Oryctolagus cuniculus: one gene and its partners. The protein of the gene in region 4 interacts with the protein of the main gene of each other region in a biochemical or structural test. Links are inferred from orthologs where the notes say so. Each region holds a gene or a part of one and is shown on either strand. Other genes may lie near its edges.

Evidence for each region.
Region 1: of the proteins of histone H2B type 2-E (region 4) and KAT2A, one has a biochemical effect on the other in vitro, tested with the Homo sapiens proteins (2 studies listed by BioGRID). The link is inferred for Oryctolagus cuniculus from reciprocal best matches to the Homo sapiens genes H2BC21 and KAT2A.
Region 2: of the proteins of histone H2B type 2-E (region 4) and RNF40, one has a biochemical effect on the other in vitro, tested with the Homo sapiens proteins (2 studies listed by BioGRID). The link is inferred for Oryctolagus cuniculus from reciprocal best matches to the Homo sapiens genes H2BC21 and RNF40.
Region 3: of the proteins of histone H2B type 2-E (region 4) and STK4, one has a biochemical effect on the other in vitro, tested with the Homo sapiens proteins (2 studies listed by BioGRID). The link is inferred for Oryctolagus cuniculus from reciprocal best matches to the Homo sapiens genes H2BC21 and STK4.

What each region holds. Positions count from the first base shown.
Region 1 is NC_091448.1:20,670,708-20,674,985, forward strand, and holds the start of KAT2A (histone acetyltransferase KAT2A), read left to right. Parts: upstream 1-1,438; 5' UTR 1,439-1,503; coding exon 1,504-1,842; intron 1,843-1,982; coding exon 1,983-2,106; intron 2,107-2,359; coding exon 2,360-2,505; intron 2,506-2,592; coding exon 2,593-2,682; intron 2,683-2,865; coding exon 2,866-3,047; intron 3,048-3,127; coding exon 3,128-3,319; intron 3,320-4,197; coding exon 4,198-4,278. Other genes in the region: HSPB9 (heat shock protein beta-9), read right to left, coding at 1-442. UniProt on the Homo sapiens protein: Protein lysine acyltransferase that can act as a acetyltransferase, glutaryltransferase, succinyltransferase or malonyltransferase, depending on the context.
Region 2 is NC_091450.1:6,344,908-6,348,468, forward strand, and holds part of RNF40 (E3 ubiquitin-protein ligase BRE1B), read right to left. Parts: intron 3,538-3,561; coding exon 3,412-3,537; intron 2,546-3,411; coding exon 2,405-2,545; intron 2,309-2,404; coding exon 2,207-2,308; intron 1-2,206.
Region 3 is NC_091442.1:14,181,768-14,185,328, forward strand, and holds part of STK4 (serine/threonine-protein kinase 4), read right to left. Parts: intron 3,073-3,561; coding exon 2,958-3,072; intron 1-2,957. UniProt on the Homo sapiens protein: Stress-activated, pro-apoptotic kinase which, following caspase-cleavage, enters the nucleus and induces chromatin condensation followed by internucleosomal DNA fragmentation.
Region 4 is NC_091438.1:48,065,061-48,068,857, reverse strand, and holds histone H2B type 2-E, read right to left. Parts: upstream 2,627-3,797; 5' UTR 2,573-2,626; coding exon 2,192-2,572; 3' UTR 523-2,191; downstream 1-522. Other genes in the region: histone H2A type 2-C, read left to right, coding at 2,907-3,296; histone H2A type 2-B, read right to left, coding at 3,457-3,797. UniProt on the Homo sapiens protein: Core component of nucleosome. Nucleosomes wrap and compact DNA into chromatin, limiting DNA accessibility to the cellular machineries which require DNA as a template.

The DNA of each region.
Region 1 (4,278 bases), on a different chromosome or scaffold from region 4:
GTCTTGGGGATGGTCCTGCTTGGGCTTCGGGGGGAGGCAGCGGCCCGCACTGGCCTCGGACCCACAGCTGGCCGGATGGCGTCAGGCAGCAGGTCATGGCGGTGGGATCTAGGTCCGGCGGTAGCTGCATTTGCCGCTGCACCCTCTGCTCCATGCGGTAACCACCCAGTCCCGGGTTGCCGTACTCCCACTGCCGCTGGCCGGTCACCGTCAGGTTCTGCCCAGTCACCTGCACCACCAGCTCCTCGGGGGCGAAGCCCTGCGCGTCCATCTTCATTTGGAAATCGTCTGCGGCCCGGCCATGGTCCTGCACAGCGGCCGGGTGGTCCCTCAGCAGCTGCACCGGCAGTGTGGCCACCTGATTGCGTTCAGCGAGGGCCACACTGGGACTCCTCGACGCCACCTGGTTCCCGTTGGAGAAACTGCTGCCGACCCGCTGCATCCAAGTGAGCAACTGCTCTTCAGGGGCACGAGGCTCCGAACGCAAGGCCCGAGCTCGGCCAGGCGTGTGGACTCCAAGGAAACGGGAGCGGGGTCCTCACGAGGCCCCGCGCGGCTCCCCCGGGTCGGGTTGGGTCGGGTCGGGTCAGGCGGGGGCAGCTCATTCCCTTTGACTTCCGCAAACTTCGGCTGGGTCCGGGGTCAGCTCTGCCCGTCCTGCCTCCAGGAGCGGGCTGTCAGTTGCTCAGGAGCACCCGCTATACTTTTACCCTGGCCCTGCCCTTTCTCCACCACGGCACAATGGAGCCACTGAAGAGGCTGGACGCCGGGAGCAGACACTCGGCAGCCACCGACCGGCCAGGGGCAGGGAAGCCCATTGCTGGCAGAGACAGCGGGCGGGGTCCTCCAGGTCCTCCATCGCGGCGTGCCCTGCTTCTCCCTGAGCACACGCACGAGGGAGGCGGGCACATCCCTCCCTGTCCTCGGGGTCTGGGGCCACAAAGATGATGGCGCGGGCATCCCGCGTCCCAGTGGTTTTCCTTGTCGCTGCTGCGACCACAGCCGCGCCCCTGGAACTCTGTGTTTTGATACTAAATTCTCTCCGTTGAAGGATAACAAAGTGCACAACGCAGTACAGGTGGATGGTACACAGCGCACGCCCGGGGTAGCCACCGAAGCTCAGAGCTTCGGCCACGTCTCAGCCCCTGTGCGGCTGCAGCCCCGCGTCTGGGCCTCACGGGATGGGGCCTCGGCCCCCGTGGGGGGCGCCTATTTCCTGGGATGCACCTCCCTGTCCCTAAGACGGCAGCAACCGGAGCCGTCCCGGACGCCTTCCAGATAAATTGGGAGCCAGGAAGTCTGGGGTGCTAGCTGGGGCTCCCCTTGGCTGCCTGGTACCAAGAGAAAGGACGGAAAAGTCTGGAAGCTGGAGGCCAGGGGCGCGGCGGTGGAAGACTACAACTCCCGTCGTGCGTCGGGCCTGTGGCGCCTGCGCACTGCGCACCGGTTGCCCATGCGGCCCTAGGGCTGGGAGCGCGGCGCCGCTCCGCTGCGGGGGAGGCCATGGCGGAACCTTCTCAGGCCCCGGCCCCAGTCCCGGCTGCGCAGCCCCGGCCCCTTCAGTCCCCAGCCCCTACCCCAACTCCTACTCCTGCGCCCAGCCCTGCTTCAGCCCCGACTCCGGCTCCCACTCCGGCACCAGCCCCCGCCCCGGCTGCAGCCCCAGCCGGGAGCACAGGGACTGGAGGGCCCGGGGTAGGAAGTGGGGGAACCGGCAGCGGGGGGGATCCGGCGCGACCTGGCCTGAGCCAGCAGCAGCGCGCCAGCCAGAGGAAGGCGCAAGTCCGGGGACTGCCGCGCGCCAAGAAGCTTGAGAAGCTAGGGGTCTTCTCCGCTTGCAAGGTGGGGGCGGGGCCTAGGGTGAAAGGGGCGGGGCTTGAGGGCATCCCTGGGCTCGGGTGGGAATGGGGGGCGACGCTCTGGACGCTTAGCGGCCCCTGCCCCTGGGGTGCGGGGGTCGTTGACTTATCTCCTGCCTCCAGGCCAATGAAACCTGCAAATGTAATGGCTGGAAAAACCCCAAGCCCCCTACTGCTCCCCGCATGGACCTGCAGCAGCCTGCTGCCAACCTGAGCGAGCTGTGCCGCAGCTGTGAGCACCCCTTGGGTAAGGCAGGCAGCGCCCTTGCAGGTGGTGGGCGCCAGGTGCTGGGGCCTGCTTGGACAGCCTGATTTCGCTGCCAGGAAACCTCGTCTCAGGACCTTAGGAGGTGTGGGGTTGGGGGCAGGCAGGCCGAGAGGGAGGAGAAAGGGAAAGTGCCAGCCGGGAAGATGCGGGGCCACCTTTGGAAGTCTTGGCTCCCTGCCGAGCAGGGCGTCCATGCCTCCCCACCCCGCGGCCCGGGCTGGCTGTCTTGCAGCTGACCACGTGTCCCACCTGGAGAATGTGTCAGAGGATGAGATCAACCGGCTGCTGGGGATGGTGGTGGATGTGGAGAATCTGTTCATGTCGGTGCACAAGGAGGAGGACACGGACACCAAACAGGTCTACTTCTACCTCTTCAAGGTGAGCTTCCGCGAACGGGCGTGAGTGGGGGGCAGGGGGGCTCTCAGTTCTGATGCTCCCTCCCTCCCTCCCTCCCTCTTCCTGCAGCTCCTGCGCAAATGCATCCTGCAGATGACCCGGCCTGTGGTGGAGGGGTCCCTGGGCAGCCCCCCGTTTGAGAAGCCTAATATTGAGCAGGTGGGGTGGGGCACGGGGAGCTGGGTCCTCCCTCCTGCTCTAGCTGAAAATCAGAGGGGATCAGCCGGGGGCGTGTGTTCTGTGCTGACTGCAGAGTGGGGTGGAGGAGGGGGGGCACTTTGTCACGAAGCTGGCTTCTTAGCCCTCCTCCCTGGATTTGTTCCCCACCCCACCCCTTCCCAGGGTGTGCTGAACTTCGTGCAGTACAAGTTTAGCCACCTGGCTCCCCGGGAGCGACAGACCATGTTCGAACTCTCCAAGATGTTCCTGCTTTGCCTTAACTACTGGAAGCTGGAGACGCCCGCCCAGTTCCGGCAAAGGTCCCAGTCGGAGGATGTGGCTACCTACAAGGTCAATTACACCAGGTAGGCCCTGCCCGGGCGGGGGCTGGGGGGGGATTTGTAGACCTCCCCATGTGCTCTCACCCTGCTGTCCCCACCCCCAGGTGGCTGTGTTACTGTCACGTGCCCCAGAGCTGCGACAGCCTGCCTCGCTACGAGACCACTCACGTGTTCGGGCGAAGCCTCCTCCGGTCCATTTTCACTGTTACCCGGCGGCAGCTGCTGGAGAAGTTCCGAGTGGAGAAAGACAAGCTGGTGCCGGAGAAGAGGACCCTCATCCTCACCCACTTCCCCAAGTAAGGCTCGTTCCGGCCCACTGCGAGTTTGCCCCAAGTTCACGTCCTCCCTGTTGTCCCCTTTTTTCCAGGAAGCCTTCCTGGATTGGTCCCTCCTCTCCCTCCATGGGCCTTCTGGGATCTGGGCGTCTACCTGGCAGACTTGCCCATGGCCCAGAAGCAGCTTGCTAGTAGTTGCCTTTGCACGGCCTAGTCTGGGGATGGCAGGTACATGGCCCCGGCTAACGCTGCCCCTCCCACACCCTGCTAGGCGTTACTAATTGTTTCCCATGGGGGCCTGGACCCAGCCTCAGAATCCCTCCCACCACAGAGCTCCAAGAAGCCAGCGCTGACACCTGAGGTGACAGCAGTGTCCGCCCCGCGCTAGTCCTTTCTGTGCCAGTGTCCCCCCGTGTGCCACACCTCTCTCCCATCTTAAGCCTGGCTCGTGACTTCTCTGTTCAGAGAGCCTTGGCTGTCAAATCCGGGCCCCTGAGTGCCCCTGCCACCAGGTGGGAACAGGAGGTGGTGAGTTGGGGTGGATTCCTAGTCATCTTGATGCTGCGGGGAGCAGGGGGACCCAGGGGGACGTGGTGCCCTGCCTGGCTACGGGGTTGGTATTTAGCTCGGGCCCTGTGGCCCTGTGCTGCCCGAGATGGCCAAACTGGGCCCCTTTGCTTGGTGTGTCCGAAGCTCTCACCTTGCATTCGAGGCTCCCGGGAGCCAGGGGGCCGTGCCTGCCCCTGTGGCCAGGGCTTCCCGCAGGGCAGAGCTTGCTCTCAGACGCGCCTCGCAGGGTCTGTCTCTGGCCACGGCACAGCCGCAGCCCCCCGGGGGCCCGGCCCAGGCCGCCTTTGGCGGGAGGGCGGAGTCGTGGACAGACGGCGCCCTCCCCCCAGGTTCCTGTCCATGCTGGAGGAGGAGATCTACGGGGCCAACTCGCCCATCTGGGAGTCGGGCTTCACCATGCCGCCCTCAGA
Region 2 (3,561 bases), on a different chromosome or scaffold from region 4:
CAACCTGGGCAGTGACGGCTGTCCGGCGTGCCATCTCAAGGACAAGGGCGCAGCCTGGACTCCCCCGCTCTGGGGCACCCTCCCTGGCCCCATCCTGGCCTGCTTCTTTGCTGGACCTGCTCCCCCTCGCAGGTGAACGCGGCAGGGCCACTGGAAGTCTGCGATCTCCGCCCTCTCGGGCACGGCCCGGTGCGGCCCACAACCCCTGCCGCGTCTCCGGCCCGAGATCTGCCCCTGCCACCAGCAGGGTCTTTCCTGCCGCAGCTGCAGACAGCAGTCGCTTCAACTCCGCATCACCCAAGTCCACCCTGTGCCCTGCTTGGAATCCCAGCCCCGGCCACTGCCTCCGCACCCTCCCCAGCGGCACGTTTCCACCTCTCGGGGGGCCCCTGGCTGCCCGCTGCCACCTCCGCCTCTTCCAGGCCGCCTCAAAGGGCAGTCGGATCCCCGACGGGGCACCCCCCACTCCAGGGGCCTGCCCCTCTCCCTTTCACCCCTGCTCCAGCACCGCCCTCCCGCGGCTCAGTTCCTTCACCTTCACCCCCATCGGCTCCCTCAGTATCTCTCATCCCTCCCAGCCCACAGGCCTCCCTCCCTCCACCCATCACGTAAGATTTGAGGTTCCTAAGAAGAGGGGGCCCTCCTTGTGGCTCCCAGCTGACAGCCCGCACCCCTACGCTGCTCAGCATCCCTCGGCACTGCCCATCAGAGCCTGCTCCTCCCCAGTCCAGTCAGGAAGCAGGAGTTTTCCTCAGTGTTCTCCTGCTCAGCCCACGCACTCCATACGTCCCTGTGTCCAAATGATCTGCCTCTAAAAGCCTCCTGAACGCAGCGCGAAAGCATTTCAAAAAGGTGGTGGAGGACAGGCAGTCAGTGGGGGAGAGGCCTGCAGCCCGCACTGGGCTCTGCGCTCTGCTCCTGGATCCCAGCAGCCTGCAATGCACACCCTGGCGGGCAGCAGTGACGGCTCAAGTCCTTGGGTGCGCGCCCCCCAAGGGGGAGGCCAGGCCTGTGTTTCGGCTTCTGTTCCAGCCAAGCCCTGGCTGCGGTGGCCTCTGGGAGGCAATCAGTGACAAGGAGCTCCCCTGCTCTGTCTGCTTTTCATTGAAATAACAATTGTAATTCTTTTTTTAGTTTGTGGCAAAATGGATTAAAAGACAAGTTTATTTTAGAGAGAATTATTGAAATCCATGCAGTTTCTTCCTATGTACTTTCTTTTAAATGGAAAATGGATTTCAAAAATTTTTCCACCAAAATTTCTTTTAACTCCACTTTCCATTACCTTTTTCTTTTAAATTTATTTATTTAAAAGTCAGTTACAACCACTGGTCCACTTCCCAAGATGGCTGCAACAGCCAGGGCTGAGCCAGGCCAAAGCCAGGAGCTTCATCTGGGTCTCCCAATGGGTGCAGGGCCCCAAGCACTTGGGCCATCTTCTGCAGCTTTTCCCAGGCCACAGCAGAGAGCTGGATCGCAAGTGGAGCAGCCGGAATGAACTGGTGCCCACATGGGATGCAGCACTGCCGAGGGCGGGCGGCTTTACCTGCTAAGGCCACAGCACGGGCCCCTCTCCTCATCTCAGTACTTAAGCTGACTCTCAGGTTTCGCTCCAATGACTGCAGACGCCCAACACTTACCCTGCCTCAGCCTTCACCTGCCCCAGCCCCAGCCCACTCCACTCCAACTCCTGCTTAAAATCCGACGTCTCCACACTCAGCTGCTTGAGCGGGCTCGCCACACCTGCAGGTTCTGCAGCTCTGCGGCCCCCACACGCTCGCCTCCAGCTGCGAGCCGCAAGCCCAGCCCTGCTGTCCAGCACCTCCTCCCAACCTGCCCTCCCCCACCCCACGCCCTGCACCTGCCTTTCCCTCTGCCTGAGCCCTCTCATGCCCACTCCTCAGCGCCAACCCTGATCCACTCTGCAGGCCGCCTTGGGTGACACCCCTACCCGGGAGCCCGAGTTCCCCAGAGGCCATCGATGGCATCAGTCCTCCCCGAGAGCACAGAGGTACCGAGGGGTTACCCGTCAGTTTCAGCCCTGCCGGCCTGCACCTGGCCAGGCCCGTGAGCCATGGCCAACGCTCAGCCGGCTCTCCGGTCACCTTCCCAGGTGCTGCTGCCCCGCCTCAATCCCAAGGGCCCCTCTCATCAGCCTCTCATCTGCAACTGCTGGGTTGGCGGGCACGACTCAGCCCCGCGGCCCCACCTTGTACTCCTTGATCTCCTCCTGCAGGATCTCGTCGGCGTCCGCGTAAACCTCCACCTTCCGCTGCTTCTCCAGCTTGCGCCGCAGCCGGGAGATGTCCTCCTGGGGCAGGAGAGGGGCCGGGCTCAGTGCAGGAGTCCTCGGGCCCGCAGGTGCCCACACCCACACCCACGCCCACGCCCTCCCGGACACACGCACCTGAGCCCTCTTGAGGTTGAAGCTCTCCTTCTCGCGGGCAGCCCGGCTCTCCGCCAGGCAGGGCTGGATCTCCCGCAGCCGAGTCTGCACGTGCTCCAGCTGTACCTTCAGGTCCTCGGCCAGCTGGGCCGCTTCCACAGCCTGAGGTGGGCGGGACAAGGAGGGGCACGTGGAGCCGCCGTCCACCCGAGCCTGCGTCGGACGTCCCAGCGCCGTCTATGCCGGAGCCGGTCCTGCCTTCCCGATCCTCTGGCCCTCGCCTCCTACGCTCTGATCCGCAGCTCCTGCCAGCATGGCGATCTCGCTCTTCTCTCTGCTCCCCTCAACACACACACACGGCACTCCCGCAGGTCTCTGCTCCAGTGGCACGTCCCGACAAACCCAGATTTCCCTTGCCCCACACCCGAGTTTCCTTCTTAAGACCAACTGTGACCTGCCGCACCGTTATTTATCTGTGGGATTATTGCCCTCAAGACGCGGTTCCAGGCCTGCCTGGAAGGCAGAGACCCTCTTGTGCCCACCGCTTTCACAGGGACCAGCCCAAGGCCTGCACATCACAGGGACGTAAGAAATACTGCAATACTGCTTACGTGAATGGATTCACTGGAGAAGAATACAACAGACAGGAAGAGGAAGATTTAAACCAGTATTACTCTAAAGACGTGAGCACGGACTAGATCTTTCGTATGTTGCAGCCAACCCACGAGTGCTCAGGACGTGGGCTCTGGAGCCATGGGGACCTGGGCCTCCTGGCTTCACTTTCTTTTTTTTTGAGCAAGTCTGCTGACCCCTCTACACCTGTCTGTCCGATTCGGAAACGTGGACAGCACCACGCACATCTTGGTAGGATTCTTAGGCTGAGACTAGCACGTGACCAGCGGGTCAGGCGGGGCAGGCTCGGCATCCAGGCGAGGCGAGGCAGCACAGGGCTCCCCGGGCCATTCCCGGCGGCTTCTCCGTACACACCCAGGGGAGGCTGGGAGCCGGCGGCCGGGGCCCAGCCTCACCTTCCGCTTGTTGAGCTCCAGGGCCTGGCTGCGCAGCGTCAGCTCCTTCTCCACGCCGCCGAGGCTGCCCTGCAGGGCCCGCTCCTTCTCCTCCAGCTTCTGCACGGTCAGCAGCTGCGCGTCCACCTGCGGACGGGGCAGGCCTCAGGG
Region 3 (3,561 bases), on a different chromosome or scaffold from region 4:
TGCTTTTGACCCTCTATCTTTTCCACATGACAACAATGCTTACTCTTCCCATCCAACTACTAACCAGGCCCGACCCTGCTTAGCTTCCAAGATCAGACAAGATCGGGCGTGTTCAGGGTAGTATGGCCATAGACCGTACTTACTCTTTTAAAACAGAAACCAGATCTGCTCAAAACCTACCAACGGCTTCCTAAATTGCTCAAATAAAAGACCGTTATCACCAAGGCCTTAAGTGACCTAGCTCCAAGCTACCTCTCCAACTTTATTTTCTACCCCATTTATTACATTCAGCCACATAGATGCAGGAGCACAAGGACTTGGGCCATCTTGTACTGCTTTCCCAGGCCATAGCATAGAGCTGGATCAGAAGTGGATTAGCCAGGACTTGAACCAGTATCATATGGGATGCTGACACTGCAGGCAGTGGCTTTACCTGCTATGCCACAGTGCTGGCCCCCAGTTTTTGTCTTAAAGTCTATTTTGTCTGATGGGATGATAGCTACTCTGGCTCATTTTTTACTTCATTTACATGGAGTATCAATTTCAAGTCTTTTGCTTTCAATCTGTGTGTATCTTTGTTGATAAGGGTGTTTCTTGTAGGCAGCATATAGATTGATTTTGTTTTTTAATACATTCAGCCAGTCTGTATCTTTTAATTGGAGAGTTTAGCTCATTTATATTCAAGATTATTATTGATAAGTAATGACTGGGTTATGCCATTTTTCTGTAAATATTCCTTTTGTTTGTTTTGGATCTCCTCTTTGCTATTATTAAGAGGTTTTGTGCCTTTACAGTCTTTCATGATGCTGATTATTTTTCTCTGTTTCTGTTTGTGGTATATCTTTAAGTATCATTTGTAAGTATCACTGAGTGCTGACAAATTATTTCAATTCTGTTTGTCTTGGAAGGTCTTTATTTCACAGAGGAATAACCAAACAGGATGACTTCGAGCTAAGAAGCTTCTGCACAGCAAAAGAATCACTTGACAAAGTGAAGCAGCAACCAACACAGTGGGAGAAAATATTTGCAAACTATGCATTTGCTAAAGGATTAAAATCCAGAATATATAAGGAGCTCAAGAAACTCAACAACAAAACAACCTAGTTAAGAAATGGGCAAAGGACTTGAACAGGCATATTTCTTTTTTTCTTTTTTTAAAGATCTATTTTATTTGTTTGAAAGACAAAGTTACAAAGAGAGGTAGAGACAGAGAGAGAGAGAGAGAGAGAGAGAGAGAGAGAGAGAGGTCCTTATCTGCTGGTTCACCACCCAGATGGCCACAATGGCTAGAGCTGACTAATCCAAAGCCAGGAGCCAGCAGCTTCATCCAGGTCTCCCATGTGGATGCAGGAGCCCAAGCACCTGGGCCATCTTCCACTGCTTTCCCAGGTGCGTTAGCAGGAAACTGGATCAGAAGTAGAGCAGCTAGGACCTGAACTGGTGACCATATGGGATTCCAGCATGGCAAGCTGGGGCTTTAACCCACTGTGTCACAGCATTGTTCCCGAACAGGCATTTTTCTAGGATGAAATACAAAGGGTCAGGGGCTGGTGCTGTGGCACAGCGGGTAAAGCCACCACCTGCAGTGCTGGCACTCCTTGTGGCTGCCAACTCGAGTCCTGGCTACTCCACTTCCGATTCAGCTCTCTGCTATGGCCTGGGAAAGCAACAGAAGATCGCCCAATTCCTGGGGTCCTGCACCCATGTAGGAGACCCAGAAGAAAGTTCCTAGCTCCTGGCTTGGGATTGGCACAGCTCTGGCTGTTGCAGCCATCTGGGAAGTGAACCAGCGGATGGAAGACCCCCCCCCCCTCCTCTGCCTCTCTGTAACTCTGTCTTTCAAATAAATAAATCAATCTTAAAAAAAAAATACAAATGACCAACAAACACATGAAAAAATGCTCAGGATCACTAGCCATCAAAGAAATGCAAATACTAACCATAATGAGGGGCCGGTATTGTAGCATAGCAGGTAAAGCTGCTGCCTGCAATGCCAGCATCCAATATGGGTGCCAGTTCAAGTCCAGCTGCTCCACTTCCAATCCAGCTTCCTAGGAAATGCTAATGCACCTGGGAAAGCAGCAGAAAATGACCTAAATGCATGGGCCTCTGCACCTACATTAGAGACCCAGAAGAAACTCCTGGCTGTCCCAGCTCTGGCCATTGTGGCCATCTGGAGAGTAAACCAGTGGATGGAAGATCTCTTCCTCTCCATCTCTCTCTGTGTAATTCCTTCAAATAAATAAATAAATATTAAAAAAAAAAACAAAAAAAGTAGCCCACCAAGCACTCTCTACCATTTCACTACCTCTTCATCTTATACATTAATCATTTTCTTCACGGTTTTTACCACTACCTGCTATTTCTTTTCTAGTTAACATTAATTTGTTTTCTGTTGGCCTAGTGGAAAGTACACTACTGTAAGAGCAATGTTGTCATCTGTTTTGCTACTGGATCTCTAAGACCTATAGCAGTGTTCTAGAAATATTTACTGAATAAATAAACAGCTTAAGCAATTGAACTGGAATTAGAAATTATGACTTCTAGGTCTTATTCCAGCAAATAATATTACTTATTACACAGTAAGGTAAATAGTCTTTCATAATGGGATTACTCTCTGATTAACAGGAAGCAGAGGCAGTTAACTTGTGAACATGGTAGGTGGATGAAGAAATCCAAACTAAAGTATTTAAAATTCACGCCCTAACTAATATTTCATAGTTTTTTTTTTTCCCAGTAAGAAAAGTATGCTAAAAACCACTGGATTGATCTGGTGTAAAACTGCTACCTTTAGAAGACATGAGAGAGTAATGAGGAAGAAACAACAATAGAAAATAAGAAATTTGACAGTTATTTGTCTAGATACAGTAGCAAGAAAATACACACAAATAAAAGGCTAAAGCAAAAAAATGGTGAAAGAGACTTGCTCAGCTGCAGCTTCTACCAGGTAAACTTACCGTTTTATTTCGTAATCGAATGATATCAGATACAGAGCCAGCTCCACAGTACTCCATAACGATCCATAAGTCTGTGTTCTTAAAATAACTTCCATAATATTTGACTACATGAGGGCTGGAGACAAAGACAATGTAAATTAGTGAAATAGCCTTCAAACATCTCCAGTAATCATATTACTAAATATGTTAAAATTATTTCATCTCAAAAGATCAGTTTTATAGTTGAGCATGGGCAACCTCCTGATAAATGTAAATTATTATCACTTTTCTGGAGACTAATATAAGACAAAAGTACAAACAATGGGGAGATGCTTTAACCAGCATTTAAATCTCCAATTTATCCTCAAAAAAGTAAAAATTTTCAGAAAGAGTTATCTCCATAGTACTGTTAATAAAAATGAAAATTTGGGGCCAGCTAAGCCTCCGCCTGCAGCACCAGCATCCCATATGGATGCTGGTTCGTGCCTCAGCTGTTCCTCTTCCAATCCAGCTCTCTACTTATGGCCTGGGAAAGCAATGGAAGATGGCCCAAGTGCTTGGGCCCCTGCACCCATGGAGGACACCTGGAAGAAACTCCTGCCTTCGAATCGGTCCAGCTCTGGCA
Region 4 (3,797 bases):
TTTTTTTTTCTTTATTTTAAAGCACAGCTATTTCCCCCCTAATCCAGGGAGGAGTCCAGGTTCTCAGAGAGCAGCCCTGCTTTCTTACATCCTTTTAGCACTAAACAAGGAGCTTTTTCTCTGGTGAGTTTCTGAGGAAAGGCCGCTCTGTGGCTCAGTTTCCCTCCCTGTCCAGTGGGAGATGACAAGTCTACCTACTTTAGGAGGCTCTTGTGAGAATGAGAGAATGTTGTGCATGAATCGGGAACACATGTTAAGTGTCTGTCGGTGTTAGCCCACCTTGGTTAAGGACTGTATGTCTTCCACGTTGTTTGTAGTGCTTCTTCTTCATGCTCACGTATTTTGCAAGGACTGCGGAAAGCCTTGTGACAGCCTGGTTCAGCCCCATTGCCCATCTGGGGTAAAAGTTTAGCTGACGGCTTCTAAATATTCCTTCTCCACCCTTTCCACACATGTACCCAGTGGTGACTGTCCCTGTCAATTTCACTTCATATATGGCCGATAAAAGGATATAGCAAAGCCTTAAAATGAGTTGGGCACTTTATTAATAACAGCATCTACACAGATTTGAAAGCACACGCGCAGCAGGCTCAAGATCTCAGCCTATGATTTGCTATGTGGAGCACATCTGGGTTCACAAAACCCTTGCAATCAACTCCAGGAGCCCTGAGCAGAGTCCAGTTACTGAGCACTCAGGACCTCCCCTGGCACCATCAAGGCTCGGACAGGAAGATTCGGTATTGCGTAATTGCATCAGATACGACCAAAATACACCTGTGATCACATCGCAGAAGACAAAAGCAGCGCTCGCTGTGTGAGGGATATTGCAGCTCTGTCTGCTCTGCTTGTTAGGGCCTCCTGAAAAAGCAGCCGGGTTGGTGGGGATGAACTGAAAGCTCCTCCCAGTGTGAACAGAGGGTGAAGGCTCTTCTCGCTGACCACTGCTCTCAATTGAACGGAAACCTAAAACGGGTCACCCTAAAGCGGGGAGCCTGCGGGGAAGACCCGCTACTGCCGCCTCCTCCCGATGCAAAAAAAAAAAAAAATCTTGGCACCAGGCCTCCCCCCACCCCTCACCCGCCCCAAAGCAGTTGCACCGAGGTGATTAACGACATATTTGGTCAAGGAGCTACAAAAACATTTCCATCTTCATCGTATCTTCACATCTGATGGAAATAAACAGCGCCCACCCCCCACCCACGGAAGCGATTACGAAATTGGCGGGATAGAAAAACGAATCCGTCGATATCGGTTCAAGCCGTTTGTGTCCGCTACGTGCCAGGCACTGATGGGCGCTGAAGATACGGAGGAAAAGCAGGCCAGCAGGGCCTTTGTCCCGGTTTGAAGAAAGACCATTAACGAGAAAGCAAATGAGCCAGCGAATTTCAGCCAGCTGCGTGGACGAAGATGAAAACACACAACAGACAGGGCCAAAGGGCAGGCTCCTGAGCGGATGCCGCTGGCAGCGGTTCTTAATCCCCGAGCTAAACCACCCGTGTCTTGCAGTGACCTGGGGCAGGCTTCCCAGCACAGAGCATTAAATGCAAAAATCATTTACGGACTTAAGGAATCCTAGGACTCTCCAAGCTACAACGTCAGAGGCGGAAAACAAAGTCTTTAAGAATTCTCGAGTGGCGCGAATTTTGAATATTCATGCCGCCCAATCAGGAAAAGTCTGACCCTCAGCGGCGCGGGCTCCGCCCCAGAGCACAGCACCGGTCACCCGCAGGCCCGCAGGCCCGCAGGCCGAGCCCTCCCCGCGCCGAGCTGGCCACCCCGCCGCTTCCGGTGCTAAGCTGCTGCTGTACACAGCGGCCGCCGGACGCGCCTACTTGTGTCCTGCAGTCTTCCTAAACCAATAGCTGCAATCAGCCACTCGAGTTTAAGACGGCCCAGCGTGTGTAACAAAGCCGCCCGGCCACTGCCGCAACGCAGAGGGGTAGGGGCGGGCCATCGCCGCTGTTAGGAGTGAAGACGCACTTGGCACTCAACGCAAGTCCAATCACGCGCCGGGAACCTCGGGGTCGGAACGTCTTAGAGAATGCCAAGTACTCCACCCCCACTACGTCTGGGCTGCAGTAACTTACTTGTGCGAAGGGACTAAGGGGGGACGTTATGTGAACACGGCTCTTTCCCGATCAGATGGGTGGCTCTGAAAAGAGCCTTTGTGGGTTAGCGGCACGGCAGGGCCTCACTTGGAGCTGGTGTACTTGGTGACAGCCTTGGTGCCCTCGGACACGGCGTGCTTGGCCAGCTCGCCGGGCAGAAGCAGGCGCACGGCCGTCTGGATCTCCCGGGACGTGATGGTCGAGCGCTTGTTGTAGTGCGCCAGGCGCGACGCCTCGCCGGCGATGCGCTCGAAGATGTCGTTGACGAACGAGTTCATGATGCCCATGGCCTTGGACGAGATGCCGGTGTCGGGGTGCACTTGCTTGAGCACCTTGTACACGTAGATGGAGTAGCTCTCCTTGCGGCTGCGCTTGCGCTTCTTGCCGTCTTTCTTCTGCGCCTTGGTGACAGCTTTCTTGGAGCCCTTCTTGGGCGCGGGCGCGGACTTGGCTGGCTCGGGCATGGTAAACACCACACCAACGCGATACAGCGGGGAAAAGGAATAAGAGGATGGGCGGGCCTGATCCTCTTATAACCATCTTATGCAAATTAGGAATCAAAATGGCTTTCGTTTCCATTGGTCCGTGCAGGAAAGTTGCGTTTTCGGTAAAAGCCTGCGTAATGACAACAGCTCGACTTTATTGGCTGTTTCTGAAGCCATATTAGGACCAATGAAAAGCTCGTTCCTGACCCCACCCCCAGGGAAGCTTATAAAGGCTTTCTTCGTGGGTTCCTTTCAATCTTGTTTTGTTGCGAGGTTCTGCGCCCTAGCTGGGTTTGGTTTCTTTTTCTTAACTATGTCTGGTCGTGGCAAGCAAGGAGGCAAGGCGCGCGCCAAGGCCAAGTCGCGGTCGTCGCGCGCCGGGCTGCAGTTCCCCGTGGGCCGGGTGCACCGGCTGCTGCGCAAGGGCAACTACGCCGAGCGCGTCGGCGCCGGCGCGCCCGTCTACATGGCGGCCGTGCTCGAGTACCTGACGGCCGAGATCCTGGAGCTGGCGGGCAACGCGGCGCGCGACAACAAGAAGACGCGCATCATCCCGCGCCACCTGCAGCTGGCCATCCGCAACGACGAGGAGCTCAACAAGCTGCTGGGCAAGGTGACGATCGCGCAGGGCGGCGTGCTGCCCAACATCCAGGCTGTGCTGCTGCCAAAGAAAACCGAAAGCCACAAAGCCAAAAGCAAATAAATTTGACGACCTGAACCAAAGACCAAAGGCTCTTTTTAGAGCCACCCAAGTTGTCAAAGAAAGAGCTAACGCGCTGCTTGTTATCAGCCCTCCGCTTGACACTGTGGTGGCTCTTAAAAGAGCCTTTTGGGTGGACGGGAGTGGTGTCACGCCTAATCAATCACTTGCTCTTGCCAGGCTTGTGGCTCTCCGTCTTCTTGGGCAGCAGCACGGCCTGGATGTTGGGCAGCACGCCGCCCTGCGCGATGGTGACACCCCCGAGTAACTTGTTGAGCTCCTCGTCATTTCTCACGGCCAGCTGCAGGTGGCGCGGGATGATGCGCGTCTTCTTGTTGTCGCGCGCCGCGTTGCCCGCCAGCTCCAGGATCTCGGCCGTCAGGTACTCGAGCACGGCCGCCAGGTACACCGGGGCGCCGGCGCCGACGCGCTCGGCGTAGTTGCCCTTGCGCAGCAGCCGGTGCACCCGGCCCACGGGGAACTGCAGCCCGGCGCGCGATGACC